4 linked regions of the Lepisosteus oculatus genome follow. The protein of the gene in region 3 purifies or fractionates together with the protein of the main gene of each other region. This does not show direct contact. Links are inferred from orthologs where the notes say so. Each region holds a gene or a part of one and is shown on either strand. Other genes may lie near its edges.

What was found.
Region 1: the proteins of eif2ak2 (region 3) and dhx30 purify together in Homo sapiens (affinity purification with mass spectrometry; 3 studies listed by BioGRID and IntAct, with this or other methods). This does not show direct contact. The link is inferred for Lepisosteus oculatus from reciprocal best matches to the Homo sapiens genes EIF2AK2 and DHX30.
Region 2: the proteins of eif2ak2 (region 3) and adar purify together in Homo sapiens (affinity purification with mass spectrometry; 3 studies listed by BioGRID and IntAct, with this or other methods). This does not show direct contact. The link is inferred for Lepisosteus oculatus from reciprocal best matches to the Homo sapiens genes EIF2AK2 and ADAR.
Region 4: the proteins of eif2ak2 (region 3) and stau2 purify together in Homo sapiens (affinity purification with mass spectrometry; 3 studies listed by BioGRID and IntAct, with this or other methods). This does not show direct contact. The link is inferred for Lepisosteus oculatus from reciprocal best matches to the Homo sapiens genes EIF2AK2 and STAU2.

What each region holds. Positions count from the first base shown.
Region 1 is NC_090701.1:26,019,283-26,027,210, forward strand, and holds the start of dhx30 (ATP-dependent RNA helicase DHX30), read left to right. Parts: upstream 1-4,684; 5' UTR 4,685-4,690; coding exon 4,691-4,886; intron 4,887-6,484; coding exon 6,485-6,612; intron 6,613-6,906; coding exon 6,907-7,017; intron 7,018-7,500; coding exon 7,501-7,685; intron 7,686-7,813; coding exon 7,814-7,922; intron 7,923-7,928.
Region 2 is NC_090722.1:6,554,569-6,562,048, reverse strand, and holds the start of adar (double-stranded RNA-specific adenosine deaminase), read right to left. Parts: upstream 3,197-7,480; 5' UTR 3,137-3,196; coding exon 2,959-3,136; intron 175-2,958; exon of another isoform or gene 1-174. Other genes in the region: uncharacterized protein, read right to left, coding at 3,588-3,867, 4,581-5,119; ilf2 (interleukin enhancer-binding factor 2 homolog), read left to right, coding at 7,362-7,366. UniProt on the Homo sapiens protein: Catalyzes the hydrolytic deamination of adenosine to inosine in double-stranded RNA (dsRNA) referred to as A-to-I RNA editing.
Region 3 is NC_090712.1:6,726,533-6,734,816, reverse strand, and holds the start of eif2ak2 (interferon-induced, double-stranded RNA-activated protein kinase), read left to right. Parts: upstream 1-4,960; 5' UTR 4,961-5,104; intron 5,105-5,946; 5' UTR 5,947-5,958; coding exon 5,959-6,065; intron 6,066-7,016; coding exon 7,017-7,152; intron 7,153-7,985; coding exon 7,986-8,134; intron 8,135-8,284. Other genes in the region: gpatch11 (G patch domain-containing protein 11), read left to right, coding at 37-86, 496-722, 964-1,005, 1,437-1,557, 1,832-1,922, 2,184-2,291, 2,686-2,767, 3,652-3,707.
Region 4 is NC_090701.1:53,322,762-53,329,920, forward strand, and holds the start of stau2 (double-stranded RNA-binding protein Staufen homolog 2), read right to left. Parts: upstream 3,184-7,159; 5' UTR 2,998-3,183; intron 459-2,997; 5' UTR 450-458; coding exon 251-449; intron 1-250. UniProt on the Homo sapiens protein: RNA-binding protein required for the microtubule-dependent transport of neuronal RNA from the cell body to the dendrite.

The sequences.
Region 1 (7,928 bases), on a different chromosome or scaffold from region 3:
TAGCAATACAATACAATACAATAGCAATACAAGGCACAGCCTTAAAATAAGATGTAGAGTATGTACAGACCTAGAGTAACTTGTAGCAGTCTTCTGTTTAAAGGTGATTTGGGCTGTTCAGTTTTCCATTCCTTAGATTAGACTCATTCACTATGACAGACTTGCTCACAGTCACTAATGTCTGGGCTAGTCTTGTGAGAATTCACTCATCAGTCACAATCTGAAGTAAAATTATACAGTGAGACCTAATAGACACTTCCTCATGAGTTGAAAACTGGCAATTCCTATCTGCACAGTAACTAATCTAGCCCTGAAACTGAACTTCAGATAGCATGAGATGAATCTGAATTTTCACAGGAATTGCATTAAACATATTTAAAGAACACACATGGTGCTAACATCTAGTTTGCAAACATGTGATGTCACATATTTGATGTACCTTACCAGAATGACTGGACTCTGCTTTTAAATATTGTTAGAATTATTTTCCGTTTTGGGATCTTTTTCTGCTACCCCAGTTGATAAACACGTTAAATTCAGAAACAATCATATCGCAAAGTTAAAGAAAGCTGATAGAACAGATAAGTTCTGTATATAGTTAACCAATAGCTGTAAATTCAGCAAGGCACAGGTTAACTCTAATTAATCTAAAAGCTCCAGATCCTTAAGGCAAAGGGGTCCCAGTTGTGAACACCATAGGCTCTCTTGCTAATTACAAAGACTCGGTGATCTTCGAGTCAGCAAATAAAGACACTCGCTGCGAAAGCAGCTTCGTTTGATCAAGGAAAGACGGTAGCTTGCTCACATACATACGACTCGGTCAGCAGCTATTATTGTCCGCAAGCACAGAAATAAGACTCGAAATAAAAAAAACAACCGCTTGAACTAGCGACTGACACAAAACAACAACACAAGCTACACTCAAAGAGCATACGGTAGGATCAGGCGTGTCAGCTTGCAGACACCGATAATTACGCTGCAGATTTGTTTTTTCTTGTAATCTGTTAAAACACGTGAACCTCATCAAGAAGACACATTAATAAAATAAAGTACAAAGTCCCAAGTAATTGCAAACTGTTAATCACACGACCACATTAGACTCCGTATGAGCATCTCCAGCCCTGTGAGCATGATGGGGTAAACAGGTTTAGCTGAGTCAACACAGATGGAACAGATCAGTAGCTCCGTAAATACCTGCAATCCCTATCTGTAGATAAAAAACAATAATCCTGAACACGTGTGAGATTTTATTCAACCTGCAACCTCTATATGCAACGCCTTAATTATAATATTCGTATAAGCAAATATCCTGAATTCGCATCCTACAAACACATTGTTTATTATTACGGCTACCATGCGATAACTTTAAACACAGCTTTCGTAATTCAGTGCGCTGCTATTTTCTGCTCTCTGGGGGATCCGGTGTGACAGTGCAGGTGAAGTCGACCCTCCCTCACTTCCTGAGCCCGAATTATAAACAGGATCACATGCTCTGCGATTCCAGCCACAAAACAGCGAAGGCGGTGAAATTATAAAAGAACGCATCACAAGCACCTTTTATAACGCACGATAAATTGATATCTTACCTCAGTTTTCGTGATTCAGCACCAAGAAGCGGCCTTACATATGGAATGAAACTTCTTTTTCACATGTTAACACATCCCGCAGAGCCCTCTGCCATCTCGCCGCATACAGACCTTCATTTTCCAGGAACAGGACGTCACGCGTTGACTACCCGTCCCACGCCGCAGGAAGGAGCACGAGCCAATGGTGAATGAGCTGCCGGCACAGAAACTTTACCGGCTCCCAGTACAGCAGCGTACTGTAGTTTTATCCAGACTGTAGTGGGTACAGTTCTTAACACGGTATATAATTCTCAATGCAGTTTTTTTCATTGTAGCGTGCTCAAAGTAACGAACAAAATACATTGTATTTATATTACAAATATTTTTTTTGTTTTTCTCAAAGTCTCTACAGTGTCACAAAGCTCAACAGAGATCACAATTTGCAGTGTCTTGATGGGTCTTGGACGTTAGATAGGGGGTTAATGTGCTGTTTGTACCACCAGGACTTGAGCCACAGTAACAACCTTGCAGGAGCCCCAGCTGGGTTTAGGGCAGTGTCTTCCAGACTAGGGAGACTTTGAGCCTTGGTACTCTCTCCCTGAGGTATTGTTCAATCAATCAATCATGGTTTATTTATTAATGCACAACAATACAGCATACAGCGGTGGTTGTCGGCAGTGAAATGCATTTTCCGCGAGCTCGCCAAGGAGAGATGGGGCAGAATTTGATAGAAGGTTACAAGAAGAATACAATAAATTATTGGAACAATTTACAAGATTACGCAAAATCTTGTAATTCTTGCAGGCATAAAAAAAATTGAGGGCGAGGAAAAAACACGGGAAAAGGCTGTTTTTAAATCTGCCGGTCTTTGCAGGTTTCAGTATCGTTTCCAGAAAGACAAAACAAATTGTGGCTTGGGCAACTGGGGTCCTTGATTATAGACCTGGCTTTCCTGAGGCATCTACAGTAACTGAGTAGATATCCTCAATGTCTGGTAGTATGCAGCCGGTGATGAACTGTGCTGATTTCACCACCCTCAGCAGTACTTTGCGATCCCAGGCAGAGCATCTCTCATACCAGGCAGTGATGCAACCAGTCAGGATACTCTCAACAGTGCATCTGTAGACGTTGGCTGGAATATGTAATGGCATGCCAAACTTCTTTAGCCTGTGGAGAAAGAATAGGCACTGCTGTGCTGTTTTGACCACAATGTTGGTGTGGTGAGACCAGGTTAAGTCCTCTGTGATGTTAACACCTGGGAACTTAAAACTGCTGACCCTCTCCACTACAGACCCGATGATGTAAATGGAGCTTGGAGCTTGGTGATAAGCCTTGACGGTACAATGGTGTTGAATGCTGTGCCGAAATCAACAAACAGCATTCTCACATACGTTCCTTTCTTGTCTAGGTGTGAGAGGGTAGTGTGTAGAGCAGTGGCGATGGCGTACTCAGTTGATCTGTTCTGTCGGTATGATAATTGCAGTAAGTCCAAGGTGTCAGGCAGTGAAGAGGTGATGTGTGCTCTGATCAGCTGCTCATTCCTCTGGCCTTCAGTCACCTTCGTAATCCAAGACTCCAGTTTCCAACATGAGAAGAAAAACCTCCTGCTCTGGGTTTTAAATGTACTCCCTCATAGTGTCCACTTGTGTCCTCTGGTTCGTGTTTCACCTATGGTTCAGATGATATCTGCTGGGTTCACTTTGTCAATGACTTTTTGGATTTGGGAATCAGGTCCCCTCATTATCTTTTCTGTTCAAGACTAAATACATCATGTTTTTTTCACCTGTCAGGGTAGGGATGCAAGAAGTTACAGTTCATTTTGACGTAGATTTAAAATAACTTTATTATAAAGGGATTCTGGAGAGTAAAGTAAATAGGAAGTCATTTAATCAAAACCTTAACTCTGAAACTCACAGCGATGACTTTCATTTTATAACATCCTGCAAACAGTGAATAATCTCCTGTGATCCTATAAATGCCATGTTAGAAAAGCACGAACTCAGAATGGATGTAAACACTGACACAGAGTACAGATTGTCCAATCAGTCGAGCTGCCCACCTTGTCAGCTAAATAAAAATATTTCAGAGCCACAAAGTAACAATGGGTGTCCTACCACCATGAAGGAAAGAAAAGTGTAACTACAGGTAAATGAGAACATGAGAGGCTTTAAAAATGTGAGGCCACTTGGCCCATCTAACTCATTTGGTAGTTAATTGGTCTGGGGATCTCATCCAGTCATTTCTTAAAGGAAGACAGGATGTCCAATTCAAAAACATGACTAGGTAGTATGTTCCCTACTCCCACAGAACTATGGGTAAAGAAGTGCATCCTGTTCTCATTTTTCTATAGGAGTTTCCCCTTGTGTCCTGTGCTTCACATTTCACGGTTCATTCTGAAGAAGTCAGCTGGGCTGAATTCTATACATTATAGCCCAGGAATGTGTCCGGTCACTCTTTTCTGGTTTGTGCTGAGTCTTCCTGGTCATCGGGAAGAAGATGCAGGAAATAAAGAGAATACATAGAATGATTTAATATGACCGTATTTAGAATACTACATCCAGGTTTAGTAATCTCTACAAAAATGAGCTTTTCCTGCATCAAAGCGTGGGGCCCTTGCAATTAACACTGCTGCCTCACATCTCTCTTTCCTGATTTTGATTCTGGGTGCCTTCTGTATGGAGTCTGCATGGTTTACCTGTGTTCACTTGGGCTTACAGTTTGTTCCCACCACCCAGACACATGCAGGCAAGGTTCTCATAGTCTCTGTCTGCTTGTGTGTCTGAGTGCCCTGTGATGGACTGCTGTCCCATTCAAGGTGTCTGTGCCCTGTGCTTCTGGGGTAGGCTCCAGGACACCATAATCCCAGGGGATAAGCAGCTTCTAATAAAGGGAGGATGGAAAGAAAGAGTTAAAAAAGAGCATCATAAACAATTCCTGCTCTAAAAGGAATACCAACCAAAGAATGATAAAAACCAAACTGAATGTCCTTTACCATTCAAGTAAAATAGAGCAGTGGAATCAGCGTGTGTGACATCCGCCGGGCTTGCAGGCGGCGCTGTTGGGGCGGTCTTGAGCGGTGCTGCACCGCTACACGCTGTTTCCAAGGCTAGTAACCAACTTTAAAGATGGCGGCGCCCGGCGTGTTCCCCGTGGGGGTGCGAGTTTATCGGATTATTAAAGGGATTTCGTGCGTGATTAGGAACCCTTGTAAACACAGCTGGTTTGGGGTCTGTCGGTACCGGACTACCGGGTCCAGACAGTTCGTAATAGAGGCAGGGAAGGAGCAGGAAGAAGAGAACCGAGTGGCGGAGATGAGACGAGGTAAGATGACAGCCGGGAAGCTTATGCAGTAGCTTTGGAGCATAATCTAACAGATTTCTCTGTTTTCTGAAATGTGTTCATTAAATAGATAGTCTGACATCGTGATATCACGATATAAAGTTACGGTGTCTCCAAACTAGGTCTGTTGTGCAGAGGGGTCATTTCAGTCTGTACAGTACCTTACCGTGACGTAACGGTGTTGCTAGGGGTCATACAGGTGTAGAAAGGTTACAGCAACATCTCTACGTTTAGAGCAGACGCTCTATTAGAAATAAAACTTTGATATAGCTCTACAAAAAGATAATTCCACATTAAATTAAATTAAAAAAATTAAATTTGTTTCTTTACTTTTATTTTGTAATTGCCAATAAGTACAAGGTAAATGTGGACATTTCAGACCGTCCACAGGACTGGGATTCACGTTTCGTACAATTCATTCGTAAATGCCCTGTGTCCGTTGTGATATTGTGGCTCGTACCACTTACCGTTGCTGTACGGTTTTCCGTGAAATTGGAGCTTGATGTTCAAAGGACAGCGTTGCTTCAGTTACTTCTTTGCCGAGTTATTCAATTTTAGCCGGAGAATAAATAGAAACATAACTTTGTGAATTTGTTGCAGTTATAACAAATCACGAAAAAGGCAGCTTTTGTACCAGGTTTTAACTTTTTAAATTTAGCAATTAATGGTGTTGTGGTGATTAATTTCTTTTGATGCCCAGTATATTGTATTAAAAACAATAACAGGATTCCAATTATACAGAAATACCTTAATATGTAATATTGTATTGTATCATATTTAATATAATATGTATGTATTCATTATATATAAATATACACTTTATCCTACAATTAGCTTTAAATGTGCTAGCACATTTAAAGCTCTTCCTTTTTTAGTGACAAAGCTTAGTTTTCTGTTCTCTTTACTGTTTTTTATAATAGTGTATAATGTATAATGTATAATATAATGTTTCTTTATTAGCCCCATACAATTTCTTGCATTAGGAATTCGCCTTTTCGCATACCCCAGGTTTTCTCCATGGAGACACAGACACACAGACAGGGAGAAGCTTATGGTCAGAGCGCAGGGTCTGCCATTGTACGGCGCCCCTAGAGCAGTTAGGGTTAAGGGCCTTGCTCAGGGGCCCAACGGAGTAGGATTCCTCTGCCGGCCGCGGGATTTGAACCGGCAACCTTCCAGTCACAGGCGCATATCCTTAGCCACAGAGCCACCGCTCCGCAAAGTGCGGAGTACAGTTTACCAAAACTGTAAAGTTTTGGTAAAATTCATATAGCTTGTCTTATACGTACTTTGCTTATCTTTAAGTCATGTTTCATCTTATAGATAGATTTCTATCTTATTTTACATCACGGAGTTGTAAAATGCTCCAGTGCTAACCTGTTTGTCTGAAAATACTGTACTTAAATCCTACGGTTCATCTACACACAGTTATAATTTGATCACAAAGCTTTTTAGAGTCATCTCTCTGTACCTCTCTCTGTGGCTCTGTGTTTCTTTTTAAGTGTATCTTACTGTGTGTGCTCCCTTGAGAGTACATTGTCTTTGAGTGTCCCTCATTCTCTGTGTGTCTCTCTGTCCAGGCCGTAAGGAACTTCTGAAGGAGTTTCCTCATCCCAAGAGTCTGCTGCACAATTTGCTGTCCCGGGCTCTGGGAATATCAGACCTCTCACAGCACATCCTGTACAGCTGCACTGAGGGACATGTCAAGGTGGGCTTTCGCTGACAGTATACACCTGTACACAAAACCACATTAATGCCTGTACAGAGTCAAATTAATTCATGTGTACAATTTACCTACAAAACAACTGAGCTCAGAATGTCTTACAGAGGGATGTGGTGACAGGGCCTGTGCCTTGTGTGTCTTACAGAGGGACGTGGTGACAGTGTGTGGATGTGTGTGTGTGTCTCTCTCTGTCTGTCTTACAGAGGGATGTGGCGACAGGGCCTGTGTGTGTATATTACAGAGGGACGTAGTGACAGGGTCTGTGTGTGTGTTTTACAGAGAGCCACGGTGACGGTGCTGTGGCCGCGCAGGGTGGAGGCAGAGGGATTTGGCTCCCGGAAGATTGACGCTGAGCGGCGAGCTGCTGCAGCTGCCTGCATGATCCTGAAGGTGAGAGACCCTGATCCCTACAATACACTCAGAGGGCTGAGTTACATGGGAGGTGGTGCTGCCCTTTTCAGTAGCTGAGGCCTATCTGAGACTGTCTGGTTACTGAGGACTGGTGACTGTCCAATATCTGCATTAGGTATAGATGGCTTCCCTATCTGCACAGTTTACTGAAATCGTTTGGGCATATTTATTAGTATGCAGTACTTTTTCAAGTAGCAAGAGCAACTCTGAAAATTAGGCCTTACTCTTAATTCAGATTTCTACTGAGATTTTACTCTGTGGCTTTGGAATGCTATATTGCAAGTGACATGAAACCAAAATGGTAAATGGAAGTGTGTTGTATGTTAAATATTTCCTGCTATTTTCTCTCAAAAACAATTCCCTCTCTCTCATTCTTTCTCCTTCCCTCCTCATTTCTCTCCCCTGCCCCTGCATTTCCTCCTCTTTTCTCTAATTCTACTCTTTTGGTCTCTGCATTTTCAGAACATGGGGGTTTTGGGCCCAGGTAACGAACTGCCACGAAGACGAGCACTGCGTATGGTGAACCCCAGACCCCCTTCTCTGTCCACCGATGAGGAGGATGGGGAAGGGGAGGAGGCAGCGCTGGATGTCACTGACTTCATGGTTGACTCCAGCCAAGAGGTGCCAAGCCCTCCAGCACCTCCCAGGTACACCCTGCCCCCTACAGGCTCCCATATTTTACTGTGTACAGCCTAGTGTCTCCCCAGCATTTGTGTGCCTTCTCTGTCTCTCACTGACTCTTTTCCACTCCTTTTCTCCATCATTCCCTGTCCAGGTTGGCCCAGGAGGACCCAGGGGTGGTGCGAGCTCTCTCCCTGTTCCCAAAACCCAAGGCCCTGCTGGCCAAGGTCATCCAGGTTGCCACCTCCTCCTCTAACGTCAGAGTGAGT
Region 2 (7,480 bases), on a different chromosome or scaffold from region 3:
CTGCTGCACCCGGAGCCCAGCCGCGATCGCGCGTGTCTGGCGCGGAGGGGGAAGGAGCGCGAGCCTCTCGCTGCAATCTCGGCGCCTGTCCTCGCTCCGGTTTCGGTTTCCTTTCTCCGCACGAGCGCTCCGATTCCATGAAGCCGGCGCTGTGCCCGCGCGGCGCCGCCAGGGGGACCCCGACCCCCACACGCGCGCCCGCCCCGCGCCACACAAACCGAATAAACCGACCCCCCCCCGACAGCGCGTCGACACCGGCTGGTCCGGACGTGTCCGTCTTCTTGTTGTTGTTCTGACACGCCGGGTCGGAGCCGAGCTGGCAACGTGTAGGAACTCAAGCCACTGACTCCCTGTCAGGGTCCGAGAGCAGCAGGGCTACCGAGCTGTGGCTCTGAACCCACAGAGGAACCGGGCCGCTCCAGTCAGAACAGCACACTGCAGAGAGACTGTGGGTCTCAGAGAGGAACTGGGCCTCTCCAGTCAGAACAGCACACTGCAGAGAGACTGTGGGTCTCAGAGAGGAACCAGACCTCTCCAGTCAGAACAGCACACTGCAGAGAGACTGTGGGTCTCAGAGAGGAACCAGACCTCTCCAGTCAGAACAGCACACTGCAGAGAGACTGTGGGTCTCAGAGAGGAACTGGGCCTCTCCAGTCAGAACAGCACACTGCAGAGAGACTGTGGGTCTCAGAGAGGAACCGGGCCTCTCCAGTCAGAACAGCACACTGCAGAGAGACTGTGGGTCTCAGAGAGGAACCAGACCTCTCCAGTCAGAACAGCACACTGCAGAGAGACTGTGGGTCTCAGAGAGGAACCGGGCCTCTCCAGTCAGAACAGCACACTGCAGAGAGACTGTGGGTCTCAGAGAGGAACCGGACCTCTCCAGTCAGAACAGCACACTGCAGAGAGACTGTGGGTCTCAGAGAGGAACCGGGCCTCTCCAGTCAGAACAGCACACTGCAGAGAGACTGTGGGTCTCAGAGAGGAACCGGGCCTCTCCAGTCAGAACAGCACACTGCAGAGAGACTGTGGGTCTCAGAGAGGAACCGGGCCGCTCCAGTCAGAACAGCACACTGTAGAGAGACTGTGGGTCCCAGAGAGGAACCGGGCCGCTCCAGTCAGAACAGCACACTGCAGAGAGACTGTGGGTCTCAGAGAGGAACCGGGCCTCTCCAGTCAGAACACGAGAGGGTGAGAGGAGGACTTGCAGGGAGGTGAGATCCTAAGAGATACAGACAGCTTTACCCCCAGAACAAACTGGGACACAGGGAAACCAGGACAGGCACTGAGAACAGTGGTGCACACGACAATTAAACTGGACTGGACTGGTTATAAAGCAAAGGGGCCACTCGGCCTGTCCAGCCCGTTGGGTCGTTAGTAGTCAATTGATCTCAGGATCTGTTCCATGCTCCCACCACCCTCCGTGTAAAGTAGTGCCTCCTGCCCTGATTGGAGGATCTCAACCAGCTGTTTCTGGAAAGAATCCAGGGTACCAGCTTCAAGCACACAGCTGAGCAGCCTGTTCCACGCCCCCACCACCCTTTGTGTAAAGCAGTGCCTCCTGTCCTTGGCTTTAAATGCTCTTCCCCGTAGTTCCTGCCTGTCTCCCCTGGCTTGTGGTCCGATCAGGCAGGAGGAATCGGTGGGTGAAAGAGCCAGGGGTGTCTGGTACTGCCCACGGAGGCCCAGCTGCGTGAGGCCCGGACACTGACCAGCGAGACCCAGACTGGCCCGACCCTGCCCGCCGCACACCCGCACCCTGCTATCTGGGGTCACACGTCCTGCGTGTCCAAGAGAACCAGCAGGGCAGCAGGACGGGTCCAGGGAGCTCCCAGTGTACAGGACCATACCCCACAGCCCGTCTGCTCCGGACCGGACATGACCCGAATCAAGGAGGCACGACTGTGGCGGTGGCCCTGCGGGGTACCCAGAGTGCTGTGCGGCGTGTCCGGAGCGTGGCGGAAGGCCGTCTGGGCGGATCTGTCCAGTTCGATGGCCAGAAGAACAAGAGGTGACACACTGAAACCTCGCACTGCCCGCCTCTGCGGTCATCTCTGCAGCACTGCCTGTCTCCTAACTGGCTTCCAGCCTCAGAATAATCTGGTCCCTCGGCAGCCCTGAACGGCTCTGTGCTGCGCTCACTGTCCCCACTGCTGCAGACTGACCCTCCTGCTTCGACTCCTGGATGTTTTGGCTTAATTTTTCCTCTGACCTTTTACCGTGTTTTTCTGTCTCTCTTCATCGCTATGCACGGCGTCAGTGGGCTTGGAAAGGGACTTGATAAACAACATGTTATTACTATTCCTGGTGTTGTTGTTGTCATTAAGAGAGGCTGACAGCCTGACTCGTGTGCGGGGCGGACAAGGACGAACACGTCCGGGAGACGCACCGGCGTCCTTCTCCTGCGGTCCCCAGAGACAGCTCTGCGGGACAGGAGAAGTGTGCTCGCCTGCAGCCCGCTCTGCACAGCCCGAGCCGGTACAATACCGTCCTGGGCCAAGCCGTGCCAGACCACCCCGCAACGATACCACCCTGTGCAGCGCCAGCAGCGCGCTGAAACTACTGTGCATGCTGAACCACTGATGTCCCGACATCCAGCGACACCGGCAGGACCGGCCCTAGCGCCTGCAGAGCTCCGACTCGCGATCACACGCCCCCCGATGCCTCTAATTCTCACACGCACAGATGCACAGCCAGTATCGGCTCCGACCGACCCCCCCCCTCAGCGCGACCCGGGACCCCTGCCTCTTCCGCCTCCAGCCCACTCTCGCCAGCCTTCACTCCACGCACCCCGAACGTCATGTCGCGATACCACAGGCGGGTCGTGAGCGGCTGGGGGCCACATCTCCCGGCGCAGACCAACTGGGCTCGCCGCCGTCCCCGGCCCGACTCCCCGACACCAGCCACGCGTGTCTCCGCGAACACCCACCCGGGGCGAACGAGAAAGGCGCTCCCTACCTGCAGATGGATTAAGGGGTTTGGCAGTGCAGCTCAGGCTCCGCAGAGTGTTGTGGGCTCCACCGCCTCGCCGTCGGAAAACAGGAAGAGCGGCGCGATGACGTCGAAAACAGGCGACGGATTGGTTGAGGGGAGAGGAGGGGTAGAAGCCTGTGAAGGGGGGTGTAGGCTCAGACATCTGGGGGCAGCCTCGATGTGCAGGGCCAGTGTGTGTGAGTGTGAGTGCTCGGCAGTGAGTGTGTCAGCGTGTCAGTGCGTCAGGCAGTGTGAGTGTGTCAGTGTGTGTGCGTCAGTGTGTCAGTGTGTGTGTCATTGTGACAGTGTGAGTGTGTCAGTGTGTCAGTGTGTGTGTCAGTGTGACAGTGTGAGTGTCAGGCAGTACAGTCACAATTTCCAGCCCAGTTCTGTTTGGAGAAGTTTATTGCCTGCAGTCAGTTCAGTGCACAGGCACCATGTTCTCCACTACAGGTCAAAAATGAAACAAAAAGCTGAATGGTTTTAATTCCAGAAACAGAAAATGACATGATAACTGACCACTCGGCCTTCTACCTGTTCTGTACATCAACGCAACGATCTTTATATTCATCTTCTATTCCTCTTCCCTTTGAAGCACAACAGCTAGGTGCCCCTCATGGAACACCCCATTTTGGGGGTGTCCCTTGCTCCATTCGGACACGGCCCTCTCGCAGCAGTCTGTACAGGTGCTGATTGGCTGTTTTTTTGGGGACCCCCAGTTTCCGGGCGATGAGCGCAGCCGGGGCAGTGGTCCCCGACGGAAGGCCCTCCAGCACCCCCAGCACGTCCTGGGGCTCGCGGCGGGTCCCCTCCCCCAGGGCCAGGTGCTGGAAGCTGGCTGCCAGAGCGTGGGCCTCCCCCGGGCCAGCTGGCTGAGGCCGGGGCACAGGGCCACTGGGAAAGAGGCAGACAGGGAGAGAGGGGGAGGAGGGGTGGGGAGGGAGAGAGAGGGAGGAGGAGAGGGAGGGAGGAGGAGAGAGAGGGAGAGAGGGAGGGAGGAGGGGTGAGGAGAGAGAGGAGGGAGAGGCAGTGAGGAGGAGGAGGGAGGGGGAGGGAGAGAGAGGGAGGGAGGAGGGGTGAGGAGAGAGAGGAGGGAGAGGCAGTGAGGAGGAGGAGGGAGGGGGAGGGAGAGAGAGGGAGGGAGGGAGGAGGGGTGAGGAGAGAGAGGGAGAGAGGAGGGGTGGGGGGAGAGAGGGAGGGAGGAGGAGAGGAGGGGTGGGGAGAGAGAGGGAGGAGGGGTGGGGGGAGAGAGGGAGAGACGGAGGGAGGAGGGGTGAGGAGAGAGAGGCAGTGAGGAGGAGGGAGGGGGAAAGTGAGAGAGGATAGAGGGAGGGAGGAGGGGTGAGGAGAGAGAGGGAGGGAGGAGGGGTGAGGAGAGGGAGAGGCAGGGGGGAGGAGTGAGGAGAGAGAGGAGGAAGACGAGAGTGCTGAGCAGAGACACAGGACCGCTCTCCCTCTCTCTGCCTGGCACACCCACAGCCCCGCCCATCGCCTCGGCAGCGACGGCTCACGCCCACGTAACCATGGCAGCAGTCTGCCCCCAGTCTCTCCGCTAGTTCAGCCAGTCAGCGCTCAGGGCCTCATGCCGGCTGCCCCCGTCTACATACCTGTCCCTCCCGTTCGTGGCCGCAGTGTGCACGCCCGGCCTGCAGGGGGCGGCGGTGCGCGGCCCCTCTGCCCCCTCGCCCTGTGTCTGGCTGGGCAGCCTCCACAGCACGGGGGGCCCCTCCGTCTTGTCCACCTGGCCCCCGCGCAGCAGCGAGTACAGCTGCTGGTTTGCCGACTTCCGCGAGACGCCGAGCTCGCGGGCGATCCGGTGCGCGGGCAGCCCCCCGCCGGGGCCCGCCGACAGGAGGACCTTCAGGACGCTCTGAGGGTCCGGGGGCCCGGGTTCAGGGGACGCCCCGGTGGTCGCGCGTGGCTCCGGTTCCGAGCCCGCCAGGCTCCACAGCGGCGGCTCTGTCCTGGTCCGGCGGACCGCGCCGCCCCTCTCCAGCTCGTACAGCGCTCGGTTGACATCCCCGACCGGGGGGCCCCCGAGGGCCGCCGCGATCTCCCCAGCCGCGTGGCCCCTCTCGCCTCCCTGCGCCCCTGTCCGCAGGAACGCACACACGCGGCCCCCGACGTCCCCCTCGGACGCAGACATCCCTCTCCAGGGCGGGGCTCTGGAGAAGACCCCCACAGAACCGTCACCCAGAGTCACAGCACCTGCGCAGAGCAAGAGCTGTCAAGAACCAGACAGAGACAGAGAGAGAGAGGAGTGGACAGACAGAGACACAGGGAGGGAGAGAGAGAGGAGTGGACAGACAGAGACACGGGGGGGGGGGAGAGAGGAGTGGACCAACAGAGACACGGGGGGGGGGAGAGAGAGAAAGAGGAGTGGACCAACAGAGACACAGGGGGGGAGAGAGAGAGAGAAAGAGGAGTGGACAGACAGAGACACATGGAGACAGGAGTGGATCGACAGAGACACAGGGAGAGAGAGGAGTGGACAGAGACACAGGGAGAGAGAGAGAGGAGTGGACAGACAGAGACACAGGGAGAAAGAGAGAGAGGAGTGGACTGACAGAGACACAGGGAGAGAGACAGGAGTGGACCGACAGAGACACAGAGAAGGATGCTGCTATAGTGAGGATCACAGCAGGAGAAAGACAAGCAGGTGGGAAGAGATCAGTCCTGAAACAGCCAGTCTTCACCCACCCCGTGTCCCAGCGCAGACTGGACTCGCTCATTTCCCCCTCTACAGCGAGCGGGAAACGAGACTGCTCCCCGGAGGAAAAAAAAAAACTAAAATAAAGTCGTTTAAAATCTTCCACAACTAAAAATAATAAAAACACAAACGCCTCCCTCGCCGAGAGTCTGAGCGAGTGACCCGGAAGGGCTCCCCCACAGCGCCCCCGTGTGGCCAGCAGGGCGAATGTCTCTATTCGCCGTGAAGCGCGTTTTGTAGCTAACCATTAATTCTAATCGTGATTGTTCATTAAAATTACATCAACGAGGGGAACAAGAGCGCTGATAAGACGTTCAGAACAGCAGTAAAATCACAAGGAAAAATAACAAAGAAAAATAAAAGAGAGGTAGGTGTCCAGAAAAGCGCTATATAAGTGTAAGCAATTATTATTATTATTATTATTGTTATTATTTGCATTCCTTTATTGCACTTATTTACCGAGTCTCGCCATCGTGATTCCTCTGGTGCCGTACCGTATAATACCACATAATTATAATGTTAAGAAGAAGATAATAAGGCTCCACAGCCGAAACGTTTCCTTTTCTTCTCTTTTCAGCATGGAATAAACCTTTGCTGGTTCCTTAGAAGCCTACGATTGATGACACAGCTCCCTACTTGAACTTCCACACGACAACAACAACAATAATAATAAATCCTTACACGTATATGGCGCCTTTCTCAGTCCGCTCAAAGTGCTTCACAGGTCATGGGGACTCCCCTCCACCAGCACCAGTTAGTAGCCCCACCGGGATAATAATAATAATAATAATAATAATAATAATAATAATAATAATAATAATAATAATAATAATAATAATAATTGCTTACACTTATATAGCGCTTTTCTGGACACTCCACTCAAAGCGCTTTACAGGTAATGGGGATCCCCTCCAACACCACCAATGTGCAGCCCCACCTGGATGATGCGATGGCAGCCATAGCGCGCCAGAACACTCCCCACACAGCAGCTCTCAGTGGGGAGGAGAGCAGAGCGATGGAGCCAGTTCAGAGAGGGGGATTATTAGGAGGCCATGATTGGTAAGGGCCAATGGGAAATTTGACCAGGGATGTACCTCAGCCTAATCCAGATGTTTCTACGACAGGTTTCACACAACATTAACATACAGAGGAACACTTTTACCTGTGTGAAAAGTATTTCAGGTGTGTGCATGACTGCTTTTTATATTACGTGTTGTTTCTATGCTGTAAAATGAGATTAATACGTGGCTCATCTGAAAAATGAAAATGGTTAGCAGAGGATGGTTTCGATCCATCGACCTCTGGGTTATGGGCCCAGCACGCTTCCGCTGCGCCACTCTGCTAGACGCTTGCACTGGTGAAAAGTCACTCGCTTTGTTATTGTCCGAGTGTGTTCTGCAGTGCTGCGCTCTAGTGGTCATCATTCGAAAGTGCATCAGAGACTATTAGACGAGAACCAATCATGTGGGATGTTTGCCTGCGAGCCCCGCCCCCTACCCCACCTCACCAATCGCCTCTTGCTGTTGAAAAGCGTTTGGCGCCTGTGATTGGTTCCCTGGGTTGTCGATCTCGTTCGGAGACGCTGTTTCCCTGGGTAGTGAAGCAACGCCAGCGGACAGGTCGGCGGCCGAAGATTTCTCTTTGTGGCTTCCCTCAAGTTGTCAAGACGTCGTACGCAATGAGGTACAGTAATTCAAAGGAGATGGAAGGGAAAACTGTTTTTTTCTGTGCGCAATCTGACAACGCGGTGTGTCCTGGCAGAACTGAAATCCGGCTTCTCAAGTAGGCCTCATATCA
Region 3 (8,284 bases):
GGAGAGGCGTTATTGTTGTGAAGTGTCTTTAGTGAGATGGCAGGCAATGAAGATGATTATATGTCGGATTCATTCCTTAATCAGATGTAAGATTTTATGTACTGTTATAATTGCATAGAAATAACCCAATTTTGATTAGACGGTGCAGGATACAATATTCTGTTCTGACTAGCAGGTACTAAAATCTAGGAAACTGCAGAAATTAAAATGATTCAGTCACCACCATTGTTAAAAATTGCAGGTGGTTAAAATAACTTGTATGGAAAATCGGAGAAAGGTTTAAATAAGTTAAACGAAAATAAGAAAATTTACAGAATGTCGTATTCAGAACTTTAAATCTTTCATAGACGGGGACTACAGATAGCATTTTTACAACCGTATACTATAATCACTAACCCTGGAAAACCCGGACACCTCTCTTGTTCACTCACTCCTGTCTGTCTGGTGTGTTTAAAAACTCTGTCCTACGTTTGGTTGTTGTGTCTCCACCCGAAGCAAGGACGTGAGGCCCGGCGTGCCTTTGCCGAGGAGGGTGAAGGAAGCGCAGAGGAAGGAGAAGCTGCACATGGAGAAGAACCTCCAGAGCCGGCAGAAGAGTTTGAAGGAGCAGGAGCAGGAGAGGAGGGAGGCGGTGCTGCAGAGCTCCATCGGGAATGAAAACAAGGGCTTTGCGCTCCTGCAGAAAATGGGCTACAAAGCAGGTCAAGGTCTCGGCAAAGAAGGTCGGTGTCTCTTTCTGCATTTAGACTAGAAAGCCCTGACCGTTTAATTGGAGATGAAGCTTGCTTTCAGCATAAGGGTAGCTTGTTTTATTTATTCCTGTCAAATTTCTCCTCATGGTCCACAAAACAATGATGTTGTTTTTGATTCTTCTCGTCTGTACATTCACGCTGTGAATATATGTGGTATATATATATATGTGGTGATAGACATCTGGTTAATGTATTGTTTGTGTTTTTAAAGGGGCTGGCAGAGTTGAACCTATCCCATTGAATATCAAAACAGGTAATAATAATACTTTGTGTTTTGTGATGTGAAAACTTTCAACTTTATTTGTGGTCATTCTTGTATGTCAGAAAAAATAAAAATTAAATAGAAGTTAAAAACAGGTATGGCTGACCATTTACAAATGTAATGGTTAATATATAATATTGGTGCTGTTTATGGTGTGAATTAAGATGAAAAAATATGGTGAAAATGAGAGAGTTTGTTTTTTAAAAAAAAGTCTCAAGCTATGTTTTGAACAGGGCATGTTAAAATCATCAAGTCATCTTCCAGTTATTCGTGGGTATTCAGTAAATGTCTGGACACATTCTGTATAATCTGTATGATTTGACCAGCTGAGGTGACCTTATTTGTCCTTATTCAAATCCTACATATTTCACTCTCGGAAGCTGCAAAGCTTTCAGGACAGCCCTGTGCTTGTTATTGATTAGATCGAGGAGGAATTGGGATGGAGGAAGTGAAAAAACGAAAAGCTGAGGAGAAGCTGGAGCACTACCGGCGAAAAGCAAACTTTAAGCAGCAAGTCGAGAAGAGAACATTGGATGACTTCAGGTAATAGAACAAAGAACAACACATATTCTGATAGTTTGTATTGCAGATTGTAATCCCTATTTGCTTTCTTGTATCTTTATCAGTTATTTTATTGTGGGTAAACTATTTATTATTTGAAGAACCATGTTGCAATCAGGCCTGATTCACCAAATGAAATAGGTTTTTAGTGCCCAGTGGTCAGTGATCTGAGGTACACAATCTGCCCCTAGTTTAGTACAGTGTAATTGGATGTTTTTAAATCCTGAGGCTTCCTCACTGCTCCGGGTCCTTTCAGAGTCAGACTGAGAACGGAAAGGGAGGAACGACAAACTGATGCAGATCTCAGGAAAAGCCAGCGTGCCTGTGAACAGCTGGACAGCCAGAAGGTTAGTGACAAAACAGTATCTCCCATCGGCTGGTTTACCATGGCTGGGCTTACAGTCTCATTACACATTTCAACTTTTTTATTTTACATAAACACTTTACATGTCTAGGGATTTAACCAGGGCATAAAGCCTAGCATTAATTCTCTTTTGGGTGGCTGTTGGTGTTGGATCAAGGCCTGGCTCAGGAGCAGTTATGTTTTCTAGTTGTTTTTCTGAGGAAACGTCACATGGATCGATGTGCTCTTTCTCCCATGTCCTCAGGGGATCCATGCCCCCAGGGAGGACTGGTACTGGCCAGTGTCGGGGACTGAGGAGCCGGGGGAGGAGGAAGAAACTGAGCAGGAAGAAGATGAGGGAGAGGAATTAACAGTCAGTAATACCCTTTCACTTTCAACCTTGCTGCATAGGCCTTAAAATTTGTCAAGAAAACCAAGGGAAACAAAATACTGTTTTCTCTCTGCCTGTGCGTGTAGATAACCATTTGATTTGCCACGAAGCATTTCATCTCCTTACTTGAATATCAAACCTTTTAAGATTGTTGCCAGCTGCAATTAGACAGCTATAAGATCTGCAGAGTCTCATGAAATCAGACAGAAATCTCAGTTGTTTGTACCAAAGGGATGTTTACCCTGGGGATCCCCATTACCTGTAAAGTGCTTTTAGTGGAGTGTCCAGAAAAGTGCTATGTAAGTGTAAGGATTATTATTATTCTTTGCTTTCAACTATTTGATTAAGAAAGAGTATTACTTTTTCTTTTTCTCAGCCTTTGGAAAAATTACAGATTCTGACATCATATCTGAGGGGAGTGCACTTTTACTGCATATGGTGTGGGACATCGTACGATGGTAAGACTAAGAAATGCATTGATTACTGCAGGATGTACTACAATAAAGTTCTAAGGCCTATCTTAAATATTTAGCTGATTGTACCTGTGCTTCAGTACTGTACTGCTATAGCTATACATCTCTGCTATAATCCATGGCCTCGGAACAATTATTTTTTTTAAATAACTGTTACTTAGATGAGTATTTTTTCTAACTTCATAGGCTACAAACTACGAAACATTGTAATATTCCTTTCTCCTTTAGTAGGTTATAGACTGAACATACCTGAATTCTCTAGGTCAGTGTTTCCCAAGTGGCATACCATTAGGAAAACTTTGCATTATTCAGGGCTTTGACTGTCACTATGACTCATATTCATGTTTGTCTAAGCTGCTCTGTAAAAAAAAGTAAAGAACTAGGCTGCAGTAATGATTGTTGTAACTAAATATGATCATTTAATTTACACCTACTAATCTACACCTCAGCAATAGTATATTTTATTTTTACTCTCTAAAAACTATGCAGACCTTTTGAGGCTCTGAAGAGATCTTAAAAACTGCTTTGTGGTGGACTTCTCTATTTTGTCCCATTTTAAAAAATTCTGCTGGAACTATTATTTCGCAGATATTAAGTTTCCAAGGTAACGACTGTTCCAGTGACGGTAATGAATGCCCCCGTCACTCCTTGAACACGGAAGAAACGTCAATGTTGTTTTTGGAAAAAAATGTTTCAAAAGTAAAATTTTATATATAGTATGTTCATTTGAGAATGTTTGCTTTGACATGCAAGCAAAATTGTTCAAACTTTTCATGGTAGGAGGTGGATAGGTTTTTGCCCAACATTTTTGTTGACGCAAGTATGCATGCTGTAGGCTGGGAATTGACTCAAGTTATGTTGCCCTGCAGATGAAGAAGACTTGACAGCAAACTGCCCTGGGGACTCGTCTGCAGCCCATGACTGATCAGGCCAGAAGAGGGGCTGAACAGGAAACTGAAACTTTTCAGATGATGCCCTTCTTTCACAAGAAGAAGGAGGAGGAGGCCCTTCTGGGAACAATAATATAGACGGAACAGGCCTAGATGTGGGATAAAGCTGATCCTACGTACACCTTGGATGTGTGATTAAGTAGACGTGATCTGATGTCCACAATCACAAAACAGCAGACAAAAGTTTAAGGTTTACATATAAAGGAGATAAAGGTTTACAATTCACCGTGATAGATCCAATTAGAGCTGAAATACTAACAGATATGTTGACATTGTAAAATATGCATTAGTTGTGTTGTTGTGGTCATGAAATGGAATACGAATAATAACATGCAATTTTATTTACAATTTTTTGCAAATTGTGCAATTCTATGTATAAACATCATAAACATTTATGATTTAAACATATAAACAAATAGAACATCATTGCTTGCATCTAAAATATGAACTATTAATAATGTGTTTAAAATGCAATGGTGTATTTGTTTTTAAGTGTATTCATAAAAGTGGTTAGTACACATTGCATCTGTGTTGTTTAGTTGTATATTTTATGTACTGTCCTTTTTGTAAAATGAAAATAAAATATTTTCATGTGTTGCAGTAGCTTACCTTCAATAAAGCATTTGGTCGAGTCTTGCAATAGGATGTAATACAGTCACATTTGCACTACTTAAAGTTGAAACATTGTTGGTAATGCTTTGGTCATTTGTATCACATCCATGAAGTTCAATGCAATGTCCAATGTTAAGGTAATTCATTGTTTAATCAATAGTATATTCCTTTTTTTGTGTTTTAGGTGTTAAAATATATGGGTAACCTAAACTAAGAGTGACAGTAGTTATAAAGAAAAGACCAGAAATCTAAAAAAGCATATCTGAATATAAAAAATCTTTTTATGTTGTTTTGCAGTGTGCTGGGATAGAAACATTTTCAAAGGTTAAAAGACACGTTCTTGTTTGCAATTTGAACGACATACTTGTTCAGTTACCCGGAATGTAATGCATTTCCTAAAATGTTAAATTACAAAGAACACGTATTGGTAACTGAAGTTAGCACGCACAAATCATTCGATTTTTTCCATCCTCATAAATTGAAACCACGTAATATCATCATTTTAGAAAGAAAAATCCTTCTTAAAATGTAACTTAACCCCAGGCCAGCTCCCGTCCTGCAGTGTAGTATCATATTTTAGCAGGCTGGCGGAGCTGATTGGCTGCGCAGTACCGGTAGTTGTTCTAGCTGTGACGTTTGGAGTGGGAAATGAAACTAAACTTTGCTGCTGAGCTGCAAGGGGAGAGAGGGTGAAGTGAAATTTAAAGTCAGTCGTGCACTAACCTGCAGGTACGGCAAGCACAACATAGGTTTATGATCTGTAAGTATACTGATATTTATTTGCGAGATTAGAGTCAACGTCGGGTTTTAATCTTCAGCTTCGTTTTGTTAGGAGTTGGTTCAAGAACGGGGGATTGCAGCAGCGTACACGAACGTTATTTTTATCGGCAACTGTAGTACTGATACTGGTTTGATTTAACACTTAGTGCGCGTTCTCCAGCTATGTTCCTGCAATCACATTGTAACAATCAGAATTATTTCTTAATTATTTGTATGTTTTTTTCTTTTCCATAAACAATTGCTACGGGCACACTGTTAATTGCTTTGTGTTCTTCATTTTTATTATAGTCAAGACTCTTCTATGACATAGGCAGCATTGTTTACAAGTAGGACTTCTCGTGTGAAGGAATCTCGTTTTATGTATTTTTTGTATAAATGAGTTATCTGTATCGGTTAATGTTATTGATGTTAATGATGGTGAAGGTGACTAAACGTCATTTGTTCTGTTTGCAGTGAATCAAGCTTAATATGGCTTTCAAGTTACTGTTATGATATTGGAGTAAGAGGTCTGCATTAAACGTCCAAATAGTCGTCTGTTTTCCAAAGCAAGAGAACAGTATCATAAGAGAATATTTATATGACCACTCGAATTATGCTACTTTTTGTGAGGAAAGAAAAGATATGTGTTTAGCATATGCTACATTTTGGCATCAGTGTTTTGTTGTTATGATGTTGCATTATTAAGAAACTTTAATTATAAGATGATACAGTTTTTTTAAAAACATGTTTCTCTCAAAACCAAGATGAGCTGTCATTAATAAAAACAGTCAAGAGTACAGAATTACAGTAGGACATTAGGTAAAGTATTTAATTGTCTTTCAGGTATTTTTTACAATGTCTCAAATGAATTATGTGGGAAGACTGAATGAATATCGACAAAAACATAATTTATCCCTGCAATATGTGGAGGTTTCCGCAGAAGGGCCAGACCATGTTAGACAGTAAGTTTTATCCTAAAGTTTGATCAAGTCTTATACTGTAGGTTCAAGATTTTAAGCAGCTAGACAATTTAGAGTGGATTGTGCTTATTTCACTGAAAAGCTGAAAGGGGCAAAATGACAACACCTCCTAACTCATTCATTCCACGTTCAAAATCATCATGTAGCACTTTATGGATCTGAAAATGTATATTGAGTAACAGTACAGTGATAAATGTTATACTGCAATCACAATAGCATTGTACAAAGTTATATTTATCATAAATTGAATTCCATTTTTTTCATTTCTAAGTATTCCTTTAAAATCCAAATTTGACAATGATATTCTGCAAGACAGTGTTTTGGAACTATAGTTTAGAACCTTAATGGAATTATATTCTGGAACTATATAGATGCTTCAGAAGATTTCCTGTTTCCATGGGGAATTAAAGGAGGTAACACATTTAGTAGGAACATACAACATGGTTAAGACTACTTGTAAAGTGGCCACTCTTGCAGGAAGACGATGTAAGCACACTACAGGAGGCATCTTGTGAATGTAATTCCTGCCACCTGGAGGATTTACAATATGTTACACTCTGTCACCTTAGATAGGGGCACCTGCTAAGCTCACAACAGCAATGTGTTGCATTCAAGTCAACCATGACTGGCCGGCCTTCACCAGCTGTCTGCAGCTGCACAGGAAGAGTGGTGGACAGTCCCACAGGACTCTGTCCAAAGGCCAATCAGACCTATGCATCAGTTGTGCTGGGATTGTGTTCATTTTTCAGAGGAGGCTGAGTTACTAGAGTAACTTTATTTTGTAACATTCTCACTTTGAATTTCAGAAAATGTTTTGGATTTCTGTTCTGTGATTCTGCCTGACAGTTATATTCCATACTTAAAATATTTGATTAAAACCCGTTAAGAGTTATTTTTTTGCACTCAGTACGTTTGCATTATTGTGTTATACAGATTCACAATGAAAGTGGTGCTGGACAGTCAGGCTTATCCTGATGGCGTTGGAATGTCTAAGAGGGAGGCGAAGCAAAATGCCGCAAAAAATGCTTTGGAAAAGCTATGGGTCGAAGTTTCTCAGCAGAATGACCCTGTGAGTATCAGCGTGGGCGGTTTTCTCTTACTCTGTGCTTTCCTTGACCATGCTTACAGTATGTATACTCAAATAAAATATACCATCTGTCCATTTTAAATAATAGCTTAGACCAATTCAAGGTTGTGGTGATCCACTGCCTAATCTGGCAGACAATAGACACAAGGCAGCATGCACTTTGAATGGTACACCCGTTCATTGTAGAGTGTACATACAGTTTAGAGATGGCAATTAACCTAGATATCCACCTAGTAACAGAGCAGGTCTTTGGATTTTGGGAGCAAATTGGAGCACCCACATGGTCTTGGAGAGATCATGTGAACTACACCTGGGAGGCACCCCCAGCAGGACCCAAGAACTGTGAGGAAGTAACATTAAACTGCAAGACCCCCTTAAGTAAGACCAAACAATACGTAAACTTTGTCTGAATAGAGGTAGTATGTTCTCCCTGTGTTTATGTGGGTTTCCTCCAGGTGTTCCAGTTTCCTTCCACAGTCCAAAAACAAACTGGTGGCTTTATTGACTTCTGAGAAAATTGGCCCTGATGTGAGTATGTGTGTCTGTCTGTCCTGCGATGGACTGATGTCCTGTCCAAGGTTGTCTGTCACCTTGTGCCTGTTGCTTGCCAGGAATAGTATCCAGCTCCCCCACCACTCTGAACTGGAAGTAGCAGTTAGAAAATGGATGGATGGATAATTGATTCCCAAGAGATGCGGAAAACGTTTACTGAGAACCAGCATTAGGGTCTGAATTTAATTAGGAAAAAAAACCTATTGTGAAATTTTAGAACCTGTGAATGAATATAAAATCTGCTTCAATGCCATTTACTGCAGGTCAACAGCAGCAGGGAATCCAGTTGTCCTTCACCTGTGTCTACTCAGGGAATTAACCATTTGTGCTGGCTGAATGAATATGGTCAGAAGAAAGGGGTACTTGTACAGCCCTTTGAGAGGAGCGATGGAGGCCCACCACACATGCCACAGTAAGAATTTAGCCACCTCAAAAAAAAAAACCAAGCGGAGAAGAGATGAGTTCCCATCCAGAGGGTTGCTTTATCGGACGGGTAACGGGGTGTTTCACTTTTGCATCTGAGACGAGACAGTGGATGTAGCTTGGATTACATAATTGAAGA
Region 4 (7,159 bases), on a different chromosome or scaffold from region 3:
GGCTGAACCCCGAAACCTCAGCTTCTTTAGAGAACAGCCGAGTGAAATCCATGGATCAATCAACTCCTATTTAACAGGGCAGAAGGGCTTCTAGTTTGTCACCTGTCCGATGTTCTCCGACTGTCCCTCGCAGCTACGCTCGGGACACCTGTTCGGTGCTCTCTCTAGGGAGAACCGTGCCTGGCTCTACCCCTGGGCCGATGCCAACACTAGCCGGTCTGGTTTTCAAACCGAGGATCTTCCTCCCTACCTGGTGGGCTCGCAGGGGCAGCAGAATCCAGCAGGCCGGTGGCGGGACTGGGGCAGCTGGGCACAGGGGCTGGAACTGCTCCGTTGACAGAGGGCTGCAGACTGACAGGGCCTGGGCTGGGCACCGCGGCAGGTGGCACGATGGGGGACATGCCAGGCCCGGGCAGGCCGGCCGCCGTCTGCACCTTCACTTGTGCCATCCTCTGTACCTGTAAGCGGAAGACAAAGGCAGACGGACAGCTCGCACTGTTTAGGGGGTCCTCCTCAGCTCACATCACGGCCCCCTGCAGTGCGAGCTGTCCGTCTGCCCTCCAGAGACACGCGGCCGGACTCTCGCCCGCGACGACGCTCCCCGCTCACGGGATTCGCAATACGTGGAGAAGCAGGGTCTGAAATCAGCAGACCTGCTTAAGAATCTGAGGCCAGGAGGAAAACAACAGCTTTTTAGAGCTGTTCACAAGCGGTTGACAGGCACAGAGCCCTGGCACGCCCACACAGCTCCCAGCAGCTCTCTGCACACTCACTAGGGAAACCTATCCACGCTGGCCGACGGAGGAGCCCTGAGCTGTCTGCACTCCTGGTCAAAACCGAGGCGACAAGGCTATCGAGGAGCGTCATGTGATACAGGCCCTTTCACAGCGTCTGAAAGAAGCAGGGTCAAGCCTGCAGTCTAAATGTCATTCCTTCACTCCAGAGCATTGATTCACTCCTCGCCATATAAATTCAAGGTCTCTTTCTTAGTAACCAAATACATGGAAATCGGTTCAGTATCTCCCCCCAATCCTAAATATTCAACAGGTCTCTCAAACATCTCTCGAGCTGAAGGGGTCTCAACTCTGCTGTTGCTTTAAACAGCCTTGAAAGACACAGCCACTTAAATTCAAGGTACGGAACTTACATTTCTCCATGCTATGGCGAAAACAAATAGCAGTTTTAACACCTGCTCCATTTTCCAGTGTGAATAATATGCTTGTACGGTGTAAGTTCTCCTAATGAGGATAGACAAGAGCTTATAACTAATAAAGAGCTCTGTGCTGCCATTTTGCCTGTTCCTGCTGTATGGGTCACAACACAGGACCCATGCAGCAGCTACACAGATTTATGTCCTCTCCTATCTATCCTGTAAATGTCCTGTTTATCCAGTGAAGTCAGGGGAATATGCTCAGGCTGACACCCTGGCTTCTTCCTAGAAACAGCTGAAAGAGATCTTCCACTGAGGACAGGAGTCACTTCCTTACACAAAGAGTTGTGGGAGTGTGGAACAAGCAAATCAACCACATTGCTGTCGGAGATGGAGTAAATCCCGGACCCTCATTCTCTCACAGGGGCGACTGATTGAAGTTACACCTGCTGTAGCGCCAGGAGGGGGAGCTCTACACCCGGGAAAGGGCTCTGTCAGAGTACTGTGACCCCCGTTTACCGTAACTCTGCGTGCAGAAGGTATCATCGGATTTCATTCACACCACTCTCTGTGGATATTTTAAACCGGGAATACACTCAACCCGCAAAGCCAGGACACGGGACTGGACTACAACAGTGTGCAGAATTAAAAGAACAAAATAAAAAAATGCAATTATTTATTATTTAAAGTTGCACGGTAATGCAGCAGTTACACAAATCGCCGATTCGTTCTTCTGAAATGCTCCCCCTCGCAGTTCAGCTCACCCTTCGGGACTCTGGACAACAGCTACAACGTGCACTTCCCGAGCACCAGTGACAGCACATCTGGACCTGTCTGAAACCGTACGTCACCTTTCGCCACATACTGCAGTGCATGAATCCTTCTGTGCAGTTAATTTCCTAATTATATCACGTCCGCACCGAAAACATTTCCGGCCCTCAAAAAGTTGGAACTAACTTGCTTTTATTCTTTTTTTTCCCCTTCGTACCGCCAGATGATTAAAGTTTTAGTTGCAAGAATCGTAGTCACAGCTGAATACTGTATAATATTTTAACGGTATTCACAGTTGAAAGCTTTAACCTATTTGATCGATAATAAACAGAAAACGCCACAGAAAAGTTTGTTTTTCTAATTGCCCCGCTTCCAACCAAAACCCAAAGAAACGTTTTTTTTTCCTTTATTTGACCAACGTTACAGAAAAGACCTGCAATCCAACCATGCATACCGCTCACAATTATTTCCGACAACCAGGTACGAACTGTCCCTCCCCTCCTCATACACACCCCTGCAACCTTGGCTAACACAGTGCAACACACACACACACAAAACACACACGAGCTTGTTAGGAACGACATGACATTAAATGCACGAACAGGCTGAGCGCCCGGCCGTCGCTATTAAAATCCGCTTCCAGCCGCCCGGTGCCGAGCATCACGCCTCGGTCTGCACGTACCGGCTCGGCTCGACCCGGCCCGACCCCGTCCAGCCCGACTGACAGCGCCGCCCTCCCGCCACCGGGGCGCCACGGCCCCCGGGCTGCATCGCCACCGACCCGCCCGGCGCTGCCCGCGGTGCTGCCAGCTGTTGGCGAGCCCATATCGCCTCGCTGCTGCTGCTGCTGCGCGATTCAACGCAGCACTGGGAGCACGGCAGCAGGCATCATGGCTGAAAAACAGGCGAGCACCCCCGAGCCCCGCATCCGACACCGTCGGCTTCGTCATCGCCGCGGAAGGAGCTGGGACCCGGGCGGATCGCCGCAACATCACTGGCATAACGCTTACACGCTTACAAGCCCCCCGAGGCGTTTCAGCGAGGCGTGAAGTCACATTTAACGTGCGTTATTTTACCTTTTTCCCAGGGACAGAGCCCAGTTACACCTCCAACATTGGCAAACACTAAAGAGAAGAACTGACGGTCACCGGGCGAACCACTTTTATCCGTCAGCGATACCGGCGTAGGGGGTGGGGAGGGGGGCTGAACGGCTCAGGTGCGGGCGATTCCGAACCGTCCGGATTTTGTTTCGATTTCAAAAAAAGTTAGAGGATTCCGCCTTTAACGTGCAATAAGTAACGCCAGGCCAGAAAGTAGACCAACTCACACCCCCCCCCCCCCCTGAGCACTTGGAGTGGTAGAGTCTGGTTTCCTGAGCGAAATTGGACGGCGGTGCAGTTCGGGTCTTCCTGCGCACGGAGCGGCATCGCCGGTGGCAGTGATTAGCAGGGGGCAGAGCCGTTGCCAGAACTACTGTCGTGCATGAAAACACGGGCCAGGGTTAAGATCCGCCGGCACCAACGACAACAACAAAAAAAAAAAGAAGAAAGGAACAAAATGGCTTATAAGCTTTTCGGGACCTCGCCGGCTGGGCTGACACGTGTTGAGTGGTCTGCACGGACCCGTGAAAAGATCAAGCCGTGGGACCTCGACATTGTCAAGCGGAATCTGTTCGTGCAGGACCGACTGGGTGCATCCCAGAACAATACATCCCGCCACGTCAAATGATCCGAGGTCTGTTTCCATCCAGTATGAATGTTAGACACTTCCAAATTTAGGAAGGGGGCAGACTACTGAGGGCCCTGTCCTGATTTCTTGTGGGTTTACATCTCCCACCGCCGGCCACGCAGAGTCTGTAGTGTTACACAGCCTCATGAAGTAAAACAAAAAGAGGTTGATCCTGGACTCGCATTCTCGCTCACAGGGGCAACTGTTTTAAACTACACCTGCTGTACAGCCTGGTGGGGGAGCTCTACAAACTCTGTCAACATGCTGTAAATACCAGTCTGTCGTAACTCTGCGTGTATAAGAGGCCATCGGATTTCATTCACATTACTCTGCGGATATTTAAAAATGGGGTACACACTTATCCTAGCTGTGCACAATAATGAACTGAAAAGTGGGTAAAAATTATGAATTGAACGGGAATTCAATTGGAAGTTACCAGAAGGCCTTTCATAAACTTTCTCATGAACGATTTCTCTAAAGTGCACAGAATAGACGTGCATATACCTGGATTAAGATTTGCTTAATGCAAAGGAAAATGAGGGTACAGAATTTGGGTGAATACTCTTCCTCATTTATATCCATGATCTAGATTCAGATAAAGGTAGTAAACTAATCAGTTTAATAGATTACACAAATAAAGCAAGTGGATTTGCAAACCCTGCACAAACTACAAAATAATAATAGAATTCAAGTTTGGGAAAACACCTGCCAGATTCTTCATGTAGACAACTGCAGAGAATTACATACAGACGTAAATATATATTTATAAAATAGGAAATACTGATCTTGAAAATGTTTATGAAAAATGCATGACTTACATCTGCAAAAATGTGGGCAAGTAAAAAAAATCTAAAATTTTAGGATATACACAAGTCAGAAGCATAGAATTTAAATTTGTTAATCTATGTTAATGTCTGCCTCAGTGGTCATAGATAGCAAATAAGTAATTTAGAATATTGTGTTTAATTCTGTGGACTATAAGACACAGACCATTGCTACTCTAGGTGCAAAGCAATGTCCTACACGAAGACTAAAGGAGCTGAATCTCTTTAGTCTTGTACCAGGTTCCTTTGTCATATTCGCTGTTCAAGTATTCAGAATCCTCAAATTAAACGACAAATCGACAAATTAAACGCAAAGGACTTCAGCAGAATGAGCTGTGAAACACAAGCCAGAGGACACGAGCGTAAATTATGTATTTAAAATGGGGAATATGAGGCAATTCTTTGAAGAAAGAGTTGTGGGAGTCCTGGAATAAGCTACAGAATCATGTTGCTCAAACCAATACCCTGGCTTCTTTCAAGAACGAGATGGATGAATTCTCAAGTTCACTTCTAAAAACCAAATAGATTGGGTCAAATGAAAGTTCAACAGCCAAAACATTTTCATGCTACTACTCAGCCTGAAATTAACCTCTGCTATTTCCCTTGTTCATCTTCAATTTTAATGCTCATAAGCATTCAACACGATACATTCGCTTTACCATGACAAAAGTCAGCTGTATGGCTGTAAACCTAGTATGACAAGATGTTTGATATTTTGAAACAAACCGAAACACAACCTGCGTCATTCAAGTGACACTGGGAAAACCGACACAATGGAAAACACATGGAACTTAAGTGGATTCTGAACCGTACACAAACTATTGTTTATACATAGAGCTCAAGCTGCAAATAATATATTATCAGTTTTAAAGCCATTTCTGCAGGACTCTGTAACAAAATCCTGAAACGTCTGGGATTGTAATGGTTACGGAAGTTGTTACTTTAGGATAGTGATTCTCAATATTTATCAGGGATGGCCTAACAGGACTTGTCGGGAATTGAATACTTGGAATAGTGGTTATCTATAACAAATCAAGTCAACGACTGAAGTCTTTAGGGGATCCAACAAGGAATCAATAAGAAAACCACAAGGGATTCAAGTACCAGCAGTGAATGTGGAAATATCTTTGGGATAAGTGGAGTGGGTGAATTGGGAGGGGTTGTGTCATATTTTAGCAGGGCTAGAGGCTGATCTAACTAGGTGATCAAGAAGTAGCAAGAGACAGGCATCTTAAACGAGACCCATCTCCCTAAGACTAGCCAGCATTAAGCTGAGTAGGAAATAAAGTGTCTACAGGTGGCCTATTAAGTAATTTTTAGATTTAATGAATTGCTATCCAGGGGAAACGGGACCCTTAAAAATGTAGCCATGTGAAATGATTTCATGAAAGCAGCTGCACAATATGCACTGAAGATTCCTTCCTTAGCACAGGGTGAAGTGTGGCTCAGAATGCTTTTAACTACTGGCAGTCAGTAAAATGTGTTATATCCCCTTATATTTGAAGATAATTTGAATTTAATAATTACATTAACATTGAAGGATAAGCTCTTTAGCAATACATTATACAGAATTCCCAGTTGAAAGCCTGGAATCTACTGGTAGATGCGAAAAGATTTAAAAAACATTTTTCTGAGCTCTCTATAATTAGGATGAATACCTCTCAGTAAGTGTAATAAGCCAATTATCAAATCAATGACCACTGCAGGCCTCCACCAGAGGCCAGGGGTTAACACTAAAGAAAAGTTCACCGTTCCAACCCAGGCTAATGCACTATTCATTTGATTACAATCACTGCCACATGCAGCTCTTGTATTTTATTCATAATATTCTATTCCTTCAATAGTATTGGAATGAATGATTGCCACTTGAGAGGGGAATCAAGGGATTTTACTAGGAATAAAACAAGGGCAAGAATAAGTATTTAATAAAAGCTGCAAAAGGAATAGCTATAAAATCTTCTGCACATTAGATTTTGATTCAAGATTGGTCAAGATTGTGGGACACCAGGGTTACACCCCTACTCTTTTCGAGAAATGCACTGGGATTTTTAATGACTACAGAGAGTCAGGACCTCGGTTTTACGTCTCATCCAAAGGACGGCGCCTGTTTACAGTATAGTGTCCCCATCATACTGGGGAATTAGGATCCACATGGACCGCAGGGTGAGCGCCCCCTACTGGCTCCACTAACACCTCTTCCAGCAGCAGCCTTAGTTTTTCCCAGGAGGTCTCCCATCCAGGTACTGACAAGGCTCACACCTGCTGAGCTCCAGTGGGGTGCCAGTTGTGAGTTGCAGGGTGATATGGCTGCTGGCTATATATATATAACAGATTACTTCAGGGCATGCCAGGTGCATGGACAGGATAGAACTATTTTCCTTTTGGAAGATCTTGAACCTGGCCTTCTCCACCTGATGTACATTATTGTTCTTGCTTTAAGTTCACTAGATGTTTTTTTAAAAATATTTTAAAAAAGCTTAGTATATAAAAAAAAGGTTTTGGACATTGGATTCCAAGATATCACCGCACACACAGGGCAAAAAAGAACCCAGGAAAACAGAATAATTTCTGGCTTGAAGGAAATGTCATATTACATGTGACTGGCTTAGGGAAACTGCATCTTTTAGTCATGTGGAGACTTGATTCAACATCATGAGAAGCACTGAGCAGGTTAAGTCAGGGGACC